3 linked regions of the Rhinolophus ferrumequinum genome follow. The protein of the gene in region 3 binds, or shares a complex with, the protein of the main gene of each other region. Links are inferred from orthologs where the notes say so. Each region holds a gene or a part of one and is shown on either strand. Other genes may lie near its edges.

Region 1 (7,414 bases), on a different chromosome or scaffold from region 3:
TAACTAAATATATACTTTTATTAAAGGTAATTAAATACGTCATTGGAAATGCTATGATTTGTGGCAGTATCAATGAAAACAAGGTTTTTGTAACTATTAAGAACTTTGTTTTTCACATGCCTCAATCCCTGCAAAGGCTAAAGCTTACATATGCAAGCAAAAACAAGTAAGAGAACTCCAGCACTTAGGAATGCTTTTTTTTCTTCTCTGCTGCTGCAGCCACTGCAGAGGTTGAAAAGAAGGAAGCAATCACCAATAACGCAAATACACTTCACACACCTGCTTCAATACAGTGACTGGTTCCTTTGGCCCCGTATTAACTGTTCACCATCCATCCTCCTGCAGCGTCACCAGACTCCGGTGACTCCGTTCCCTCCTCGCCATTCCCTCTCCCTCCTCTCTTGCCTGGACTATAGGACAGCCTTCCTGGTTTCCAAAGCAACCCCTTTTGACTCCTGACCCACCTACAGTCCACACCCCCACTTACCATTCTGCTATATTTCTAGGCACAAAACTGCTCACGTTACTTAACCTGTTTACACAGAATTAAACCCAAACTTCTGCACCATTTGAAAACCCTTCGTAACCTGCTCTGACCCCCTTTCCCGATCTCATCTCTTGAATTCCCCTCCAATGCCTGTATCCTACACTCCAGCTGCACAAAATCAGCTTCTCTGATTCTGGATTTCAAAACATCCAACAGAGCAAGTTCTTTGAAGAATACCTGGCAGGGCCACCCCTTTTCCTCCCCGCCACCATCTCTAACAGTTACACACTGGAGTTTGCTCTGTGCTACTGAGCATTTGGTATGTGACATGTAGTACAGCCCTTACCACACTGTGTTATGACTATGTTTATGTCTCCCCAACCAGCCTACACGCTTCTTGGGCACAGGGAAGCCTTCTGATTTACTTCCAGATACATTCTCAACCCTGGCTCTGCATGAGAATCATCTGAAAAACTTTTAAAAATACACTCCTTAGACACTCTAGGTGTACAATGTCATGAGCTTTGGCACCGATATTCCATTTATTTTTAAGCACCATCCCTACCTGCTTTAATGAAAGTAATGATGATAATGGGTAATACTTATTGTGACTACTTTTATTCCTAATAACTCTACCAGCAAGGAATTACCGGCATTTTACAGACGTAGAAACTGAGGCATAGAGAGGTGAAATAAGCCATCCATGGATTCCTTCCCTGGCCCATTTGTTTACAACGCAGTCTACAGTCTAGATCTAGGTTTCGACTCATTGCATTTGAGAACGACAGTATATAAATCATGGTTCTTTTGTCTAGCTCATGCAAAGAATTCAAAGGGCCCTGTGACCTAAATCCGTCAGTGTCCCCATCCTCTATGGGCTCCGTATGGAGGTGGGTTTTGACCACTCATACACATATTGCATTCACTTTCTGAGTATTCTCAAACTTCAGGACTGTACCCTAGGGGCATCTCACCCAACAAAAAAGTTGCCCCTCGTGGATAAGGGCAGTGCAGGAAACAAACCAGAAGACGCTCTAGATCCAGAGGGATGTCAGGCAGGACGACAGACTAGCTTAAAATGTAAAAGCCCTCCTGCACCATGAAAAACTGCATGGTATTAGCTCAAAATCTGCTGTCTTAGCCTTTTGACTCCTTGTAAAGCAGCCCTGCCTATAGAGTGATTTGCCCTTTACCCACGGGTGAAGGACACCAGGTTAAGGACTGGAAGATCAAGCTGTTTCCCACCTCTAACTACCTGGGCGTCCCCCATGACACTGGTCCTTCTCTAAGTCTTCCAGGTACCGTTATACTTGTCACCATCCCCTCTGTGCCTTTCTCCTCTCCTGGCTGCAAGTCTTCTCCCAAAGTCAAGTCTCATAAAGCATCTCTTGAGTTAAAAATAAAATTAAATAAGAGGCAGCCTCGCATGGGGCCACTGATCTGATCTTACCAATGTTGCACACAGTTCACATAATGCGTTTTCTGACCTCGGCGGTGAATTTGAAACTATCTATCCTCTGCTCCCATCACATTATCCAAGGGCACCTAACAGTCCAACAAAGATGGCTGCAAAGTCCTTAAAAGCTGTTTAATGTGTTTCCACCCAAAACTTCGGGTTCTGAACAATGGCCTCTACTTACTCGTCTGAAAGTTAAAGCCAGGGACAGATCGGTGGGTCACTAGTTACAATTTCACACCCCTCAGACAAGCTTTACAAGAACGAACTGTATTTAAGGTACTAAAAATGTCAAGCCCCCCACTGCGCTGCATAATTTGAACGGCCTGTACTACTGAGAAAAATCATCTTCGATGCCATGAACTTGTAATTAAGCTACCACTTCTCCATACTTTAAAGGTGGGGGAGGCAGAGATAATTTCAAAAGGAGAGCTCATTTCACTTTCGGGGCAATTTCCGACAGCGCAGGTGGAAAACCGACGAACCTAACTATCCACAACGCACACCGGGCTCCGGGAGCGAAGGGCCGGCCGCGGCGCTTACCCGAGAGCGGTGGCCGGTCCGGCTCCTGGCCGCCGCGGGCGGGCGGCGCGGGGTTGAGCAGGTGCGCGAAGCTGGCGGCGAAGGGGTTGGCGGCCAGCGGCTCGGTGCGGTACATCTCCCACAGCAGGTAGAGCGCCGTGAGGCGCTGCGCCGCGCTGGGCAGCAGGTCCGGCTGCTGCAGGAGCATCACGAGCACAGAGCCCAGGCGGAAGTGGTCAGCCTTGCTGAAGTAGTGGTGGAAGGCGGTGGACAGGCCCTCGAAGGTGGTGCCGCCGCCCGCCTCCTCCGAGATGATGCTCAGCAGGCTCGAGAGCTCCTTCGGGGTCAGGCTCATCCTGCCCGCAGGGCCCCCCGGGCCTCCACTGCCCGGCCCGGGGCCTCCTGCTCCGCCTCTGCCGCCGCTGCCGGAGACCCCCGGGCCGCTCCTGGACGCCGCCCCCACCGCTTCTCGGGCCCCTCTTTGCTCCGCAGCGGTCAGAAGCCGGCCAGACGCCGCGCTCGCCCCGCCGCCGGGCATCAACCTCTCTCGCCTGTCCCGCTTCCCGGCCGGAGTGGCCCTAACGCCGGCTCGCTCCGTCCCGCGGCCGTAAAGCGCGCTGTTACACGACAGCGTCGCAAACCAAACTCGTCGGGGAAGCCAGGGCGTCGCAAAGGGCTGGGCAGCGCGGAGCGAAAGCGAGGCTGGTGGAGCGAAGCCAAGGAGAGGATCCGGAGATGGGGTGGGCGGGGTCAAGAGGCCGGAAGTGGGGGCGGGCCTGCACGGTTCCGCTCAAAAACTGCGGGGGTCTACGTGTTGAGGAGTGAGTTCCCGGCGGAGTTCCGGGCACCAGGTGGTCCCACTAGCTGGGGGCTACATTGTTTGGAAAAGTGCGTCTTAGATTGTAAATGGTTTTCTTAATATGACATACATGACTCTTGGTGGTAAAAAAAAAAAAGTTAAGTGCAAGTCACTAACACATTACTCATAATCAAAGTTAATTTCCAGTTTTACACTCCTTTTTGCAGAAATGGAATCATATTGCACAGGAGCGTTTGTACATCGTATTTTAACAAGATTTAGGAGGAATGTTTCCAGTAAATATTTACAAAATTGTGCAACTTTTTACATAGTTTGCCCTAGGACGCTGATTCTGGGCCTTGGCTGCTTGTTGGAAGCCCCAGGGCGTCTAAAAATGCTAGTGCCTGGTCCCACCCCCAGAGATGTTGACTCAGGTATTACAAAACAAAAACCAATCACCTCCCCAGGTGACTAGCATGCACTCTGGTCTGAGAACCACCTTGTTTCCCAGACTTGCCCAGCTTCTCCCTGGATCCACAGAAACCTACAGGCACATTTCACCATTAGTTCCCACCAGGTGAGTTTGGGAAATCCAGTGTGCACTAAACAGTGCTAGCAGTTTAAGAATTATTAAATTAAGCACCAACTTAATTGTAAAGTAAAATTGAAGGGAGAGAAATTGCTGCGTGACCACCAGCATATTCTAAAGGCTTCTTTAATTTACTGCTAGATTACCCTCTAGAAAGTTCCTGCCAATTGACATTCTTAATAGCAACTGTTAAAAAACAAAATTTAAATCTGAAGATCTAATTGGTTTCATTGAGCAGATTCATGAACCAGGCAGCATCCCATCTAGTAGTAAATAACAGAGAAGTGCTCCAAGGGGCTGTACAAAATTGAAGGTTTTTATAGGAAACTGAGTGGGACAAGAAAGTTATTAGCAAAAGAAAACAAAGATTGTTTCAGGCAAGGTCATCTATCTTTGGAGGAAGGCTGACAGGGTTCTTATCAGACAGATTACCTCACAAGTGTTGATCAGGAAATTCCAGACTGATTGGTTTATGATCACATTCCTGAGCCTACATATGTAAGTTTAACTTTTTTTTTTAAGATGTTTCAAAATATTGAAACATTATAATAACCCGCCTCTACCCCCAGAACTTGTGAAAGAGAAAACCACATGCCAAAATGGCATCACTCATGCTAAAAGCCCATGATACCAAACCTTGATTTAATACCTGACCTAATTGCTGTTTCAACCTCTCTCAGAAATGTAATCTTAATCAACCAGTCTGGAATTTTCTGGTCAAGCACCAGCAAGGTAATCTTTCCCTCAGTCATCTCCATTCCCCCATAGAAAGAAGAGGCAATCAGCATGATAAAAACTCTTTCTCATTCTCTTTCCCCTCAAAAAATGGCCCAGCCCCAAAACAATCCTTTTTTTCCTTCTATCAATAGCTCCCTTGGCCTACCATTCCTGTAAAAGCCTTCCATTTTGCACATTCCCTCTGAGTGGCCTTCTAGTGGATAGATGGGATGTTGCCCGATTCATGAATTGCTTAATAAAGCCAATTAGATCTTCAAATGTACTTGACGTTTGCTTTTTAACAAACTGCTTTTCTTTAGGAACACTTTCAAAATTAAGATGATAGCCAGAGCTTCCTACATATTCCCTGAAAACAACTCTCAGGCCCTGAATTAGTTTCCTGGTAACCACAAGCTGGGTGGCTTAACCCAATGGAAATGTGTTCTCTCACAGCTCTGGAGGCTAAAAGTCCAAAATGAAGGGGTCAGGAGAGCCATGCTCCTTCTAAAGGCTCTAGGGAAGAATTCCCGCTTGTCTCTTCCCAGCTTCTGGTGGTTGTCAGCAGTCTCTGGTGTCCCTGGTCTTATGGCTGCACCATTCCAACCTCTGCCTCTGAGGTCACTTAGCCTTCTTCCTCGTGTGTGTGTTTCATATGACCTTCTTATGAGGAAACCAGTCATTGGATGTACGGCCCACCCTAATCCAGTATGACCTCATCTTTACTAATTATATCTACCAAGACCCCATTTCCAAATAAGGTCACATGCTGAACTTCCAGGTGGATATGAATTTTGAGTGACACTATTCACCCCAGTAGAGGCCCTAAGTTCTCCTGAGCATATGGCTTGGTAGTTCTTCTTCACATCCAACTCATTTCTACCTTTATATTTGTTAACCTAAAAATAAAAGGCCCAAGTGAGAGACAGCAAACATTTATTTGAGACCAAAAGAATAGCAATTTGGGAAACACTGATGCAGACAGAACCCCAAATAGTGTTCCTATCAGGAGATTTGGAGGCAAAGGCATGGGGTGTTTATGAGAAACGGACAGGACAGGCACATCAATAGAAGGAAGGCATTTCTATTGGTGAAGGTAACCAAACAACAGAGTGATGTTCATTCTAAACAATGTTTATAATTTTCAGTCCAGTTGTTATCAGTCATAATATCTGCTTTCTTGTTCTCTCTCCAAATTCTTCTTTGGTCTTGTCTACTCCACTGGCTGGGGACCCTGACTTGAGTTTGCCAGATCCTTTAGGGTTTGGAGCTCAGTTATGGCTGCCTGTAGAGTTGGTCAGTGTGGGGACAGAGCCCCAGAGAGCAGTTTCCAGGCTCTCGGCCTCATGCGGAAAGGTGCTGGCTCAGGTAGTAGATGGCCGTCAGCTGTGGCTGGTTGGCCGTCGGCTGTAACCATTGAGCCATTGGCCACTAATATAACTGCCGTGGCTGCGTTGGGGAGTCGAGGAGAGTGGAGGGAGGTCAGAGAGTCGGTCGGTTGGCAGAAAAGCGGACAGCAGGTCGCAGGTCGTGTGAATCCAGCCTCCAGTGAGACTATAATGGTATGACTCCCCTTCCTATGGCTCCGTGGGTGTTCCTTTTTGGCCTCACCATGTCCTGCATTCTTCTTGTGTGGGGAGCGGGAGCTGAGACCCCGCCTGTCACCCCGCGTGACAGTCAGTTTTCCCCAGCTGGCTCCAGGACTGGCAGGTCAGAGCTTATTGTAGTTCTGTGGTCTAGAGCTATCAATATGACCCAAGATGAGGGTGGGACTGCTTAGGACACTGAACACGTAAAGGTAAGACATCTTTGGCCTAATTTTTAAATTAATACTAGAAAGAATGTCAGTATTTCAGAGATCTTTGTACTACGTGGATGAGGTGCCTTGAGAATTCAACTTTTACTGATGAGGTTAGCAGATTAGATCTAATGATATAGCAAGGGTCCCAAATCATTTGATTTCATTGTAACTGTTGGTCAGTCCTGAAGATGGAGCTCATTGTTGGCATTGGCAGGCTCAACATGTCCATGGCATACACAGCCATGTCAGTCACTTTTTTTCTCAGATCTAAGCTTTTTTGATGCTCTCACGTTTCCTCCTTTTCTTCCAACGATCAGCCTCTGAAGGGGTAGACAGCAAAAATCCAGAGATCAAAGCATGCACAGGCATCCTGGCCACCGTTGTACCATGCACGTATGTGACATTTTGCCTCCAGTCATGCTGGTCATAGTAGACAGCGCAATGCCAAGATAACTTTAGATCACACATACCAAATTGAGTACATCTAGGACATAGCAAGACTCATCAGCTTCTCCTCTGAATATTGAGTTGGCTTTTGCAGAAAGCAAGTCACACATTTATTATAATAAATAATAACCCCCACCCCGAGTTTCCTTTCCTGGGTAACAGAGAAAATCCACAGGAAAGCGTCCCCCTGCCTCATCTGATCTATCCTGAGAAAGAGGGGAGTTTTCTTTTCTTTTTTCTTTTCTTTCTTTTTTTTTAAAGAATTAATCTTTCTTTGTGGATTGTTTTAGCATATTTATTATAGGGCCTGTAATTTAGGAAAACCTCTAATCTTAGTCTCTAAATGGCTGGTGGGGCTTTCAGAAAAATAATTTGGTAATATGCACTAAGAGTCTGAAAAATATTGATATCCTTTTGTCTAAATAATTCTATTTCTGAAAGGCTATCTTAAAGAAATAAGAATCAGGAAAGCCCTTTTGGACGAGATAGTCACAGCATTTATTGTCATCAGCAACACCTAAATGTCCAACAATAGGGAATAACTACAGCAAATCTACCAGCAGGAATATTGTAAATGTTGTTTACACAGTTTAAACATG
Region 2 (7,982 bases), on a different chromosome or scaffold from region 3:
TCTTTTTACTTGCCAAAGAGGAAGGCTTCTGGGAGTCTAGCACAACTTCAACAAAAAGATATAGAATAACTAATGACGGTGCCCATTAGGTGGAAAGCGAGGCAAAAACAAGGGTTTAAAGATGTTAGAATTGCCAGTAGAAATTCTACTGGGGAATCAGTGGGGAATATTTTTAAAAATGCATACCCAGAGCATCTCATAAGGGCTTTCCTTTGGTTGTTTTAGATCACTAGCATATCATTCATTACAGAAGACCCACAGTATGTGAAGATATGTATAATAATTCTATTAATCAACCTCCAAGGTCCATAACAAAGTGATTTGTTACTCTGTTGAGGCAGGAACTAGAGTCCCAAAGCTGAACCTAGGAGCAAGCCATTTAACCAGTGAGTGAACCTAGCCAACCACTGATCACTCTGTTATTATTTCATCTTTAAATAATCCTGTGTGTATTTGTGTCCTTATTTAATAGATGTGAGAAATTACATTCTATGGTGGCAATAATGAAGACGTTAGAATGTATTCTGTAAAGAATGAAAGGTCTATCATACCATACATTTCCAGTATAATACTACTCAAGTCAAAATTTAAGATATTTCCCAAATTATCTCAAATCCTCCCTATTGTGAATGAAATCCTGCATTCACATGTGATCACATTCTCCTTTGACAGTACTATCTCCCTAGCTGAAATGATGAATTACCTGTTATTTTAAAAAAGATAAAGGTACACACAGATACAAATTTTCATCATTAGGCAAAAAGTAATAATCAAGTTGCTTAGATTACTGCAGGCACTGGTGCATGTATTAACTTTTCTCAATTTCTAGAGAGTGACAAACACCATTACTGTCCCTTTACCCAGATCAGAATAAAACAGGCAGTTTAGTCTAATGGAAGGCATGCGCTTCAGTCTCCTCACTAACCAAATATTCTAGTGAATGAGTGGTAGAAAGTAACTTGTCAGAGCTTTCGTGTGGTCTAAGCAGCACAACAAATGAAAGTATATCTAAAAGTTCAAATTTTAAATAAATGTATTGTCAATCTAATTGAAGAAACATGTATTGAGTACTTACTTATAAGTAATGAACCACAGCTTTAATGGCTGTTCAAAAGATGAATTACAGGGAGCAAATGAAAATAAAAGAAATTGAATAGGTATGGGTATAGAGTTTGGGGAGGCACAGAGAAAAGAGCAGCTTGGCATCAAAGTGTGGCGAACACACGATCAGATTTTGAGAGATGGACAAGCCAACCTTAGAAGAATTTATTTACCTTGTCCCTCCCTACTAGCAGAAACCTCATCTTCTGACTTGCTTCTTCCAAATTATACATGTAATGTGCGAGAAGAAACAAAAAAGTTGGGGAAATTGCAAACACCCAATTGAGAGATATAAAAGGTACTTCTCCACTTTGACTAGTTACAAACACTTAGAAACATGGTGACAGGAGGCAGAGATGCCACTGGCTCTGGAAATGACGTTTTCTCTAACCTAATTACACAGCTTCCTTTTTATATTTAAAGGCAATTTTTTGGGTTCTCTATTTCGTATTTGTATCATTTTGCCTACTAATGCAACTTAAGTATATTATTCTCTCATTAAGTCACTTTACCTCTGTGAAACAGAAAAAGTGGGGTGGGCATTTACAAAAGTGTGCTCAAATCATATGATCCCATTTTCCCACTGTGGCTATGTGTTCTCAGTAGCCACCTCCTTCATCTGCACCCCTCATTCAGCAAAGTACCTGAGCCCTTACTTTATGCCAGGAACTGTCCTGGATCTGGGTTACTATGTAAACAAGACCCACATGATCCCTGTCTCTGTCCTCAAGAGGGAGACAATCAACAAGCAAATAAATACAAAAAAATTACAAATTGTAATCAATGCTGTAAAGGATACTTGAAAAGTAAAGTTGGAGGTTACAGAACTACAGTACTTTAAAAAAGACGGTCAGGGTCGCCCACTCTAGGGAGATTTGGCAGAGACCTGAGGGAAGCCAGCTATGCCCACATTGGGGGGAGGGGTGTGTGTGTGTGTGTGTGTGTTTAAGTTGGAAGAGCATTCCAGGAACAGAGATCAGAAAGTGCACTTTGGAGTTGAAAAGCACACCAGAAGGGATGGTAGACGGGATGTCCAGTGTAACTGGAGCCTACCGGGCAAGTGACATAAGACAAGACTGTAAACGTGGGTAAGAACCAGCGAGAGTCTTGTCATAGCGAGGACTCTGGATTTTATCTAAATGCAATGGGAAGCCATAGGATTACACTAGACAGGTGAACTACCCGATCCATTTTGGTTAAAAGACCACACTGATAAAACGAGATGTGTGAGGAAAGGTTTTAAGCGCAGAGAACCGTAAGTCAGACACGATAATTATTCACTTCTCTGGGTCTCAGATTTTCCATCTGCAAAGCAAGTGGTTTTAACTAGAAGCCATTTCCTTTCCGCTGCGATGTGCCTAGGCAGTCAGTTCCGAGAGCCCGGGGCCTTGTCAAATCGATCACAGAATTACCCTCATCCCCGCCGACGCTCGGAACGCAACGGGCACCCGGAAACTGTTGGTCAGGGCAATGAATCAATGAATGGCCAGTCCGGGCCGCGAGGGAGGCGTTCCGGGCGCGCGCAGGCCCCAGGCCGGAAAAGAACGCGAAATGCGGCGCGAGAGGCCACAAGTGCCGGTGGGCGAGGAAAGTAGGGGGTGGCTTCACCGCGACCAAAGCGCGGCGAGGAGGGGGGGCCGGGGCCTCGTGGGTTGAGAGCAGAAGTTGGACTCCAGGCTCCACAGAGGGAGCTAGGAGAGGAGGCCGAAACGCAGGACTGAGGAGGGGTTCTGGGCCCAGGCTGGGCGGCGCACCCACTCACCGCAGCCGTCGCCAGGCTGTGCATGTTGGGAGCGGCCACCGCTCTCCAGCCACCGCCGGACGCGCCCGACCCACGTCCCAGCTTCAGCGACTCTGCCGCCAAAGAGCTGCCGCAGCCGCCATCCGCCTCCGGCTCGCTCCGCCCCCTTCGCAGCCCTATGACCTTTCACCCCTGACACCGCCCACAATCCTCTTCCCCCCTCCTAGCTCTCCACGGAGTTAGTCCTAAAGTCTGTCCTTTGTCGCTTAAGATTCAGGACCTGAAGGACGTCCGCCTCCTATTAGTCCTGGCATTCCCCGCAGGCCTCCCCAGAGAGGGGAGTGAACTCTGACCCTCCTCCGGAGGCCAGTGAAGGGCGGGAAAAGCAGGGCAGTCCCCGAAGGAGAAGTAGTACGCATGCCCGACTGGGCTGAGTAAGATGGAAATGGTGGGAAGTCGAAAATGAGTGAGTAAGAAATGCGCATGCGTCCTGTAGTCAGATGGGGCGGGGCTGCCTTGGCGAGACTTCGCCGAGTGCTGGGGCGGGGCGAGGGCGTGGAGGGGCGGAGTTTGCATTCCTGCGCGCACGCGCCCCGTCCGGTCGCGTAGAGTGTGCGTGCGTGCGTTGCGTGTTTGCGTGTGGTCACAGTTCCCGCCATCAGCCGCTCTCCCTGAGTCGGGGGGAGTGAGCTGTCCCTCTCCTCCGTGCCGGGTGTCCCTTCCTTCCTTCCCCCCCACTTTTCCCCCTCCGCGCGGACTCCGTGCTTCCGGCGGGCCTGTCCCGGGCTCAGGACTCGCAGGCACAGGTAAGGCGGGCCCAGAAAGCTTCTCAACTGAGCGGTTTTCCCCAGCGGCTTCCCCCCCACCCCCGGTCCGCCCACTCGGCGTTCACTCTTCTGGAGTTCGCCCCGCTGCTGCTCAGCCTGCCCCCATCCACTCGACGCTCCCCTGGCCTCACCGGTGCTGCACTTGGGGCTTCCCTCAGGCTTTTCTTCTCCTTTGACCTGGTCTTGACTGTTACTCGCCCCCTCCGCAGCCGGAACCTCCCCCATTTCGCTGGGGGCTGTCGGCGTCCGCCACTCGCCCCTTAGCGAGGCCTGCTGTCTCTAAAAAGAGGACCTACGTTGCCGCACATCCACAGGCCTTGGACATGATTCTCTCACTCTCTTGACAGTTCCTCACCTTCTTTCCTCTCCTAACCATCTCTCACTAAAACGCATGAATTGTGTTCTTGTCGTGCATTTGGTTGCTCCCCATCTCTAGCCATCAGTTCAGGTTGTCAGCTTCACCTGTTTTAGGGCATGAGCCATGAAAGGAAATGATAATTGATGACAAAATCCTGTTTTCTGGAGACTTGGCCTGTAGTGGCTTTGTGGTAGTTCTTTCAAAATTTTGGCTCTGTACATGCCTTTTGGGGGGTGACAGTATCTGACAAGTAGCTAACTGGAAGAGATACCTAAGAGAGGATGTCAAGTTAGCAGTTGGATATATTGGTTTGACGCTCAGAGGAGAGTTCTGGGCTGGAAGTATAGATAAATGTATATATGTCATCTGCCACGTTGATGGTAATCAAAGCCATGGATGTGGATGAAATTGCCTAAAGCGAGTATAACGCTGGAAAAGGGGATCTAGGATGGCTCACTGAGGGGTTCTTGACGTTTAATAACTGGATAGAGGAATACAAGTCTGGTAAAGAGATGGAAGAAGTAATCAGTAGTGTTGCATTTTGCTGAAAGATGAATGAGGACTGAGAAGCCCAGTGAAATCAAAGTAATCGATGGTCATGGTGAGAGAGGTTTAATGGAGTAACATGGAATATCTTGGTTCAGTCGTAGGCCCTGTTCTTTTTGCTCTTCCTTTTCCACCCTAAGCTTTGAATTCTACCTATATATTGATGACTTAAGAACTTTTATTTCCAGCCTCTTCCCAAAAGCTCAAGATCTATTATAACTAGCCCCCATTTGCTTGACATTTCAGCTTGATTTTTTTCCTTAGAGATTTCAAATATAACATGTCTAAAACCAAATTCTTAATCTTTCTCTCCATATCCAAATTCTTTCTCCAGTATCCCGTTTCATTAAGTGGCATATCCATTTATCCACTTACATAGGCTAGACACTTGAAAGCCATTCTTGACTTCTCCCTCATTTCATGTATCCGTACCCTCTTCAAGTTCTATTTATTCTATTTCCAATATATGTGTTGAATCTATTTCTGTATATCTTTCGTATCACTTTTCCAGTCCAAGCCACAATCCTCATTCACTTGGACTTAATGTCACTGCTAGGTACCCTGTATTCTCATCTGTAAAATGGGAATAATCATCACCTTATTGAATTTTTATGAAGATTAAATGAGATAACTGTGGTAAGAACATGATACATAGTAAACAGCCAGTAAGCATTATTATTGTAATTGTTATAAGCTGAATCACTTTAATACTTTCGTATCTGGTTGTCCTGTTTTCTTCCATTCTTGCTCCTTTCTCCTCCCCAAATTGAAATCACTTCTTTATTCAGCAGTAACATGTCATTTCTCTGCTTAAAACCCTTCTGTGGATTTCCCAATCACTAAGTATTTATTACATTGAGGGTAAAATTCAAAATCATTACTATGCTGTACAAGATTCTGCATAACCTGAGTCTTTCCTGCTTTACTAGCTTCATCTTGCACCATCCTCCTCTCTCTCACTAAACTCTAGTCACACTGCTTTTCATTTCTTCAGTCACACCAAGTTACTTTCTGTCACAGGGCCTTTGCACATTTTGTTCTGTTTACTTGGGTGGTTCCAGCATGACTGTCCTTCAGTGAACTCTTTCTTCAAGTTTCAGCTTATATGGTACTTCCTCAGAGAAACCTTCCCTAGGTGCTCTCTAACCTTTAACCCCCAAGTCTTAAATCAGGGACCCTATTATAATCTCTCATCATGCCCTGCACTTTATATCATCTTTCAGAACTTGTAATTATATGTTTATTTGTGTGGTTATTTAAAGTCTGTCTCTTACTAGAATATAAGCTAGTAACTATTTAATTTCTGTTTCTCAAGAATTGGTTAAATGAGTAGCCATCATGTCTTTTGGAAGGTTACTGATATTCTTGTCATCTGTTGACAAACACCTTTTCTGTCTGCAGACAAATCAAAGGATACAAAAAAAACAACAAAGGGTTTTCCAGCTTTGGACGAATTTTCATTTTTATGTCATAAAATCATTTAGATTTTAGACTCTTTGAATTGGAGATAAACTTTATCTAGGGCAACTTCTCTCTTTCAGCCACAACACTAATTTTATCTTTGTGCAAGAAAGCCCTTAGAAATCAGAGCAGTGGTTTATATATTTTTAAACAACAGGTTAAACTATGAGACCAGCAAGGAGGTTTCCAAAAATAAAGGAAAACATCCTATTTAAGTAAGTTGGTGGTAGATGGGAAGGAAATATTAAAATTTAATAATTTGTGTGTGTGGAACAGGATTTTTGTTGAGAAATAGAAAATAAAACATAGGAAGTGTATGAATGCCGAACAGAGAAGCATTTGGATTCATCTTGTAGGTAGTGATGAGCTGTTAAAAATGTTTGGGAGAAAGTTTCAATTAAGCAAGCTGAAAAGTTGAATAAGGTCTAGCAATATGCTGTACAACATGGTATCTGCAGTTAACAGTGCTGTGTTGTATACTGAAAAATTTGTTAAGAGGATAGATCTCATGTTAATATTCTTACCACAATAAAATAAAATTTTAAAAATGTTTGGGAAGGAATCAGCATCAATAGCAAGTATTTAGCACATACTAAGTGCCTGTTATTTTGTTGGAGTACAAAAGAAGGTAGGACAGGTCCTCCCCCCCTCCCACTTTTAGGGAGAAAGTTAAGGAGGCAGTGTATATTCTCCTTGATAGGAGATAAAAAGAGTAGTTCTTTAGAAAGGGTAAAGATTCATTGGATGAAAAAATCCTGAGGGAATGGAGACTGGAAAGTGGTTGCTGCAAATCATTGATGAGGATGCAGTATGGTAGTAGTTAAAAACGTGGGTTCTGGTGGTAGACTGTTGTCTCTTACTGACTCTGACCGTAGGTAAATTATGTAATCTCTCCAAGCCTTGGTTTCCTTATCTGTAACAGAGAGATAATAGTAATCCCTATCCTTTAGGATATTGTGAAAATTAAATGAGATAGTGCATGTATGGAGCTTAGCACTGTGCTTAGTAAATGCTGCGTAATAAATATTAGGTTGGAGTGATGGCAAAGTGATGTGTTTCTGAATTAGGGTAGTAACTAGTATGAAAAGACTGGGTTTTAGATAAATGCGAAGAGGTTAAAGCTGATGCTAGGATGTTTTGCTTGAATGAAAGGGGAAGGAGAAGTGGAGAGAAGTCTGGGGAGCCTCTTGAAGGCATGGGCTGTATAATTTTCACATTTGTATCCATACTAGACTGCTATCAAATTGGAGTAGCTCAGTAAATGATTTTTTACTAAGTGAATAAACGAGTTTAAAGTTGATGTTACAGCTTTCATGAAGGCAATGAGAGATGTTTGAGTTAGAACCGCCTTTAAGTTGAGGCTTAGAGATGCCTAAATTTGAAAAAGAAACCCATAAAGTTAGTTTTGAAAGAAAAGTAAAAACCAGGTTTACTTAACCTTTTGAAATTGTATCAGCACATCATAGAAGTGGTATCTTTAAGACGTAAGACATCATTATGAAACAATGTTTCTGAAGTTAACAAAAGATACACTCTTTTTCACTGCCTTAGTTTCAAAATGTAGCAGGGATAAATAAACCAAGACACAAATTGAAGTGCCGGCTCCTCCTGGGATCCCTTATTTTGCAAGTAGAACTATCCCTACAGTTCTATTGCACTCTCGTGTGTGTGTGTGTGTGTGTGTGTGTGTGTGTGTGTGTGTGTGTATCTTGAGCATTATATTTTAAGTGTTTTCAGTAAGGTGGTTTATGGTTTTTAAATAATCAAAAGGTTAATCTTTGTTGTATAAATGATCACATTTAAAAATAATTTTAATTTTTTACATTGGATTCATTTAAAAAGGCACGCTTATATTTTCTTTAGCTGAGTTGATGGCTTCCGGAGAACTGGCATAGCTGCAGAATATGAGTAGTTCCCAAAGAAGAGTGCATTGCCTTTGGCACAAGAA
Region 3 (6,935 bases):
CGAATACCTAGTTAAGGGCAAAATTCTATTCAATTGTTTCTAAAGAATCAAAAATTATCATTTATAATTTTTAAGGTAATAATTCTTCCTTTAAATATAACTATATGACAGATAATTCTGTTTGTTGTAAATGATGCATTACCTATAACACACTTTAACAAAACCGTGATATTTTGCATTCTAATAAAGTTGTCCCTACTATCCTTCACAAAAATTCTTCACAAATTTGTTGAAATTTTATTGCTTTACTACTAGGCTTTATTTAGTTATTTAGTTATTTATTTAAAGCTTAACACTGCTGATAAAAATAATGATATTAAGATCTAACTGGGAAACTTGGCATTAGTAAACAAACTGTCATACAAACTTAAGCCAATGAAACTTCTCCTATCTTCTCTTCACTCTGCCTTCACCAATAAAAATAAAAAAATTTTAGAGAGAGAGAGAGAGAAAGTAAAAGAAGAAATCATTTAACTTCTGTTGCCTTTGCCTTAAACTCCACACCATTATTTTTTCCATCACAGTTAAAATTAAATGAACAGAACATTTACTACTCCACGCAGAATAAAAAAAAAATGGAAAATTATTGAAAGTCGATAGACAATTTTTGCTTCCATTCAGGAAAATATTCCAACAGATTTTGTTTACCAGAATCAATCAACATAAGCTAAAAGAATTACATACCAATTTTTGTATCACTTATACTTTGTGGACCTATATAAAGTAAACTCTAGTCTTTTGAACCTTTTTAATGCTTGATTGTATTGGAACATGTATATGCTACACATAGCTTAATAATTTTTTTCCAGAGCTACACAGCAAGAACTCATAAAAAGTGTAATGAAACTGAGATATGGTCCACTGAAAAATACGAAAAAATATTAAGCATGGCTGTGTAGTCTCTACCTATAAACTACACTAAGTATTTCAATGAGTCTCATTTCTAGAAAAAAAATTCTAAAATACAACATTGAAAGTTGTTTATATATACCTTATATATATCAAAGGACTCTCAAATGTTCTGTTGTCTTGATTTTTAACTTAGTTACATAATATTGCTCAGTAATTAAATGATTATTTGTACTTATAAACGTTTTCAATGTCCAGGAATGCAGGAGGAGGAACTACTTAACTAAGCATCTACTATGTGCCAAACATATGTTTTCTCATTCTATCCTCAGACAATCATACTATAAATGCATTATCTCCTTGTTGCAGATGAGAAAACAGAGATATAGATATTAGGTGCCTTGCCTAAGGTCAAACAGCTAATAAAAATGGCACAGCCTGAGTTCTGAGGTCTGTAAAACAAGTCCTTGTTCCACTGAACTATGTGTTGTTTTTCCAGTAGTGGTCACACAAAACAGCTCTCCACCTCTCCTGTTCTTACCCCCACTTCTCAGTGAACAGCATGGAACATTTCTTTGTGAGACCAGGTTCAGAAAAGGACCAATCTCTGGCCATTATACAGAGCATGGCCTTTAAGGAAGGAATCTATATGACTTTACCCGTAGGGTTTTAGCTGCATGAGCTAACTAGATGCAAATGGAAAGAGGGTGGAGTAGATAAAGTTAATTAACAAATAATTATCCAAATGACATTTATACTTAATGCTGAAATGCACTGTACACCTATTGGCAAATTTCTCTTTATGGTTGCCTTTTACTTAGACTACTCTCAAAATAGCTTTCCAGGAGCACACGCTGAGTAGACAATAGATGTTGCTTGATCTAAGTTTTGGAGACTGTAAGAAAAAACGTGTTTGTGCACAACTATTTTGAGCGACGACTAAGATAACTGGACGCAATAAGGTAGTATTTCCTAAAATGTAGTACTGTGCTTCCAATGTGTGAAAAGCTCAGCTAAACTGCCAGAACACAAATCCATCTAAACAGCCTAAACACTCGGCAGAGTTAAGGAGGATGACAGCTCCAGTAACTTCCTCTTCCTCACTGACCTCCTCAGCTCCGCGAGTACACGCCTTTCCCCCTAGGAGGCAGGATAAAACAATTTCAAATGCACAAAATCGATCCAATCCCACCAACACCACAAGACAGAGAAGCCAGCTTCCATTTCCTCCTCTGCTCCTCAAAGAAAATTTTTACCTTAAAAAAAAAAAGCATACATCTTACCACCCATAAAGTATTTGCAATGAAAATATTTAGTCCTTCCCAGAGCCTTAAGAAACATATAAAAAGAAGGGATCTCGACAACGCGTATTCCCCAGATTCACTGCTTTGATTCACTTTCCCTTGGGTCCCACAGCCTGCCAGGGGGAGGGCTTGCAGTTACAACGCCAAAATATGCCTTCGCCTCTCAGGAGACGCGGGGGCGGCTGCAATTGGCACGTCCCGCCTCCGACCCTCACCTGCCTAGGCCCAAGACAAGCACCCAGGGCCCGCGAGTCTCAAGCGGCGTCCCGGGAGGCCGGTGGGAGGCAGGCGGACGGGCTGGCGCGGAGGCGGTTAGGCCTCGCCGCAGGCCGGCGCGCTTCCTGCCGCGGCCCGGAGAACGGCGGCGCACCCGGCCCCGCAGCTCTCCGGGCCCGGCTGCTGTACGTGTACCGCGCACACACTCACCTTCCCCGCCCGACCCCCGCGGAGTAGCTCTCACCTGCGAGGCTTCGGAGCCTCAACCACAAAGGGGGAGGAACACGCCACTTGGGGGTCCCGGACACACGGATCCCGCCCCCAAAGTCCCGGGCCCTGGGCGCAGACCCCCCCGCCCGCGCACACACACACACTCCCGGAACCTTCGGCACCTCTGACAGACACGGGTCAGTCCCTCACCCGACACACACCCACTCGCTGTGGGTCCTCAGGGCCGCCTCCCCGCCCGCCAAACTCCCAACTCGCAACCCACACGCACATTCGTCTTTTTCCAATCTCATTTCCCCGGGGACGCGCTCCTTTCCCCCACACTCTTGATCCTACTCAGAGGCACAAAAACACTCTACCTCATTCTCTTCCTCTAGCTCAGGAGGAGCAACAGCAGCCATTTCCCCGCGGCAGGGGAAACACACAAACACGCGCGCCCGCGCGCACCAGGCCCCCACAGATGCTTCCCCTCCGGAGCCGCGGCCGCAGACACAAACACAAACACCCACGGGCTGGCCTCGCTCCCGCCCGCCCCGAAAGGAAGCCGACTCGCGGGCGGCGCGCGCGCCGGGCACCAGGGCCTGGGGTCCCGAAGGGCCTGCGCCCCCTCCTCACCTGCATTCAGCGCGCCGGGGTCCGGGCGGCGACGGCGGCGGCGGCGGCGGGGCGGCTGGTGCTGGAGCTGCGGCGGCGGGGGAGGCGGTGGCGGCGGTGGCGGCGGGGCTGAGGGCAGCAAAGACATGCAGGCAGCCCGCCGGGGGGAGAGGCACCGGCCGGAGGGGACGCGGGGCGGGCGGGCCGGGCCGGGCCGCCTGAGGAACCGCAGAGGCGGCGGTGAGGAGGGCGGCTGAAGGGAGATAGGAGACGGACCGGGGGCAGGGAGGGGGACGAGGGCCGCGCTGCCGGGCTTCGGGGACGGTGACCCTGGGAGCGCAGGAGAGGCCCCGCGGCCGCAGTCGCCGACGCGAAGGCCCCCGCCGGAGGAAGCTGCGCCCCCGCAGCCGCCGAAGCTGCGGCTACCTTTCCGAGAGCCGCGCAGAGCCTGGCCTTGGCCTTGGCCTCCTGGCGCTGGAGCTGCCGCCGCTGCGGGGGTTGCTGCTGCGCCTGCTGCTGCTGGGGCCGAGACTGGTACACAGAAACGCCAGCTTTCGGTGCCTTCGCTCTGGCTCACACACGTTCACACCCCCGAAGGCCGGGGGAGAGGCCTCCGGGCGATATCGGTATAGAGATTAATAACAAGGTGCCGAGAGTGCGAGAAGAAGGGTGATTGACGTTGAGGGGCTGGCGGGAGTCAGTCACTCCCCAGCGCCGAGGGGTGGGGTGAGGGGAAGAAGGCGGAGCTTCAGCGCCGCGCCTTGACCCCGCCCCCTGGGCGCCGTGTTTGGTAGTGCTGCGCGTGCGCGCGCGGCGGCCAGTGGTCTTTCCTATTTTCTCCTACTGTTGCTGTCCTCCTACTCTCTTTTCATGGCTTGAATGTGGAGCAGCGCTGGGAAAACTAGTGGAGTATTAAAAAACCACATCCACAAATCCATGGCGGGAAAGAGATTGGCGAACCCACCTCATCCCGTGTTTGTGCGTGGACTCGGCGCTGTTTACCCCACCTTTGCCAGAGGCGGCCTGACAGCGAAGCCGAGCACTGGTCTGGGTGGCTAATGAGACGCCAGGTGAGGTTAAGTGACCGAAGGAATGTTTTCTGACATGTTCAGTGGGTTGTGTGTTTTTTTTTTAATAACATGTAACATCTATAGGTTGTATCGCGAAAGGTAAATAAAAGAAACTGTGACGCTCTGCGATTATCCCGTCTTATTTATTTTCTAATTCTCCCTTCTCGCGATAGCATTACGTTTGGCTACAGAAAGAAAACATCAAAATGTAAACTAGAAGTATTAATGTTTACTGGGTGAACATTTGACATTTTAAGTTTCTGGGGTTTAATTTTGTTTTTGTGGGTCAGCTTTAGCTTTTACCACCAGCAGTCCAGAAACAAATTATACCAGCTCTGGAGACAGAATACTGCTGTTGCAGTTTTGCACAATCCCTTAATGCATGCTCCGAGCTTGTGTACTTAATATTGTTGTTCATGAGTATATTAACAGTGTTCAGTATTTCCTCCCCCCACCCCCCACAGAGGTGTTGTTTAGCACACTAAGCACGTTGTGTTGATTGCAATTAATCTTAGGCCCTATTATTGAATGCAAAATACCTTCCTCTCCTAGGGGAAAAGATAGCGATAAAAATGCAAATCATTTATGCAGAATCGTTCAACTATTAGAGGAGCCTACCTACCACTGCAGAAGAACAATTGCACCACTTTCATCTTTGTTACCTGGAAGAGTGAGTGAGTGAGTGAGTGAGTGAGTGAGTGAGTGAGGCCCCTGAGGAGTTAGAAGACTTCAGGCTACCTTCTTTTCTACCTGTGTTGTTTCCATTTCTCTCCCTAGCAACACGACCCCCATACCAGCTTCTGTAATGGGAGTCAAAATGGCCTTAATCATGGAAGAAGTCCCACTCATTCCCAACTATCTTGAGTTTAAGCTGACATATAATGAATAATTATCTTTGGCTTTGTAAGCAACAAAGGCGAACAAGTCACTTCAGGAGCCCAGAATAGTAAACCTGCCTCAATGGCATCTTGCCACAGCATTTCTCCTTGGTACACAAACAGTCTTCCCCAAGGAGATATACTAGCAAATGTTAAAGAGGGACATAAACACCTAAATATATAAATCAGACGATGGGATATTCTCACAGATTTAAGCTTCTTCAAATACCTATAGCTATATAGAGTCCTAGCTATTCATTCATATATAACAAACAAACATCTGTGGAGGGTGAATTATGTTCCAGACATGGTATTTAGCATCAGAGACAAAGATAAGAATATGTAGTATTCTTAAGTAGCTCACAGTCATTGTAGGGGAAGCAGACACATAAACAGGAAATTCTCACAGGGCAAACCAGAAATGAAAGTATAAAAGGTGACACAAAATTAATAGTCACAACAATGCCGAGGAGGATAAGGCTGATGACACTGGCATTTTCACTTGAGCCATGTGATCCCTGCCACTTTCACAGGCTGACTAGCAGTAGAGAGTGAGGTGTGGAAAGAAGGAGAGCCTTTGTGGATGTTAAAGAAGCACTAATAAATAGTGGGGTTTGCTGGTCCTGAAGCTCAGGTTTATATCCGGGATGTTCACTGTTGGCCTTTAAATTTTAAATAATAAATGCGTCACAATCCATTGAATAATTATAATTGTGACATTCAGAGTTAAGAATACTGGATTTTATTATAAAATGGTCAGTCGAATGCGGGTTAAATTTAAATAATCTCTCCTCTCTGGGTTGCTTTCTATGCCATATATAGCAAATGGATTGACTCACTAAAAGCAAAATGAAAGCAATACTTTTACGTATTATATCATCCAAAAATAGATTGTTGTTTTTCTCATTTGCAATGAGATTGAGATTAAAGAAATAATACTTTTCAAGTAGTTGGCACTGTACAAATGCTGAGAAATTAAATCTTCACTGATATAAAAACAAAACCTTTCTCCAAAGACCCCAACTGAAAAGACATTCCAACAAAAAAGAGTAGCACTTAAGCAATTTTTAAAAGCAGTATTATAGTAGATCAATGTTTGCAATGGAAGAATAACCTGCTTTTCATATTTCATAGGAATTTTTCATGTTTGTTAGAAATTACAATTTTGAATTAAGATAAAATCTAAGAACACCTAAATGTTATTATGTTGCTTTGTATACCTGAAACTAATGGGGGAAAAAAAAGAACTTAATAAAATATTAGGTTGGTGCAAAAGTAATTGCGGTTTAAAAGGTTAAAAATCATTGCAAAGACCGCAATTACTTTTGCACCAACCTAATATTTCTTTAAAGAAGTGATTTATCCAACACTTCTTGCTTAAGTAAGGCTTTTTTGACTAAATTGGTTTAATAGCAGCACTGTGAAGGTACAATTTGTTCTGAAACACTTGTTTATTTGTATTATTATAGAAGAGGTTCGTTCCTTCTCAATAAAAAAAAAGTGCTTAATGTTTTAGAGATCACCTGTGTCTTTTCCAAATTAGAAATTAATATTTGATCTGAGTAAATCTGATCTCTATGTTTTTTTCTGTTGGTAGTACCAGTACCTGGATCTGTAAGATCCCTTATAACTATGTTCCTTTGTTTTCTGAAATTCTGTTGGGCAACTTGCTCAAAAAGCAAAGATTTAAAACTTTTTATTTAAGAATATTACTATTTGATAAAGAATCAATTAAATTCGATTTCGCTGATTTCACTACCCTCTTTTATATATTAGTAGCTACATAACTTTTCAAG

Evidence for each region.
Region 1: CNOT6L (region 3) and CNOT11 share a complex: the UniProt entries of both Homo sapiens proteins name them as parts of the CCR4-NOT complex. The link is inferred for Rhinolophus ferrumequinum from reciprocal best matches to the Homo sapiens genes CNOT6L and CNOT11.
Region 2: CNOT6L (region 3) and CNOT9 share a complex: the UniProt entries of both Homo sapiens proteins name them as parts of the CCR4-NOT complex. The link is inferred for Rhinolophus ferrumequinum from reciprocal best matches to the Homo sapiens genes CNOT6L and CNOT9.

The regions. Positions count from the first base shown.
Region 1 is NC_046296.1:3,473,451-3,480,864, forward strand, and holds the start of CNOT11 (CCR4-NOT transcription complex subunit 11), read right to left. Parts: upstream 3,080-7,414; 5' UTR 3,004-3,079; coding exon 2,487-3,003; intron 1-2,486. UniProt on the Homo sapiens protein: Component of the CCR4-NOT complex which is one of the major cellular mRNA deadenylases and is linked to various cellular processes including bulk mRNA degradation, miRNA-mediated repression, translational repression during translational initiation and general transcription regulation.
Region 2 is NC_046291.1:16,770,541-16,778,522, forward strand, and holds the start of CNOT9 (CCR4-NOT transcription complex subunit 9), read right to left. Parts: upstream 3,030-7,982; 5' UTR 2,888-3,029; coding exon 2,864-2,887; intron 1-2,863. UniProt on the Homo sapiens protein: Component of the CCR4-NOT complex which is one of the major cellular mRNA deadenylases and is linked to various cellular processes including bulk mRNA degradation, miRNA-mediated repression, translational repression during translational initiation and general transcription regulation.
Region 3 is NC_046288.1:33,656,829-33,663,763, forward strand, and holds the start of CNOT6L (CCR4-NOT transcription complex subunit 6-like), read right to left. Parts: upstream 3,044-6,935; 5' UTR 2,962-3,043; coding exon 2,957-2,961; intron 1-2,956. UniProt on the Homo sapiens protein: Has 3'-5' poly(A) exoribonuclease activity for synthetic poly(A) RNA substrate.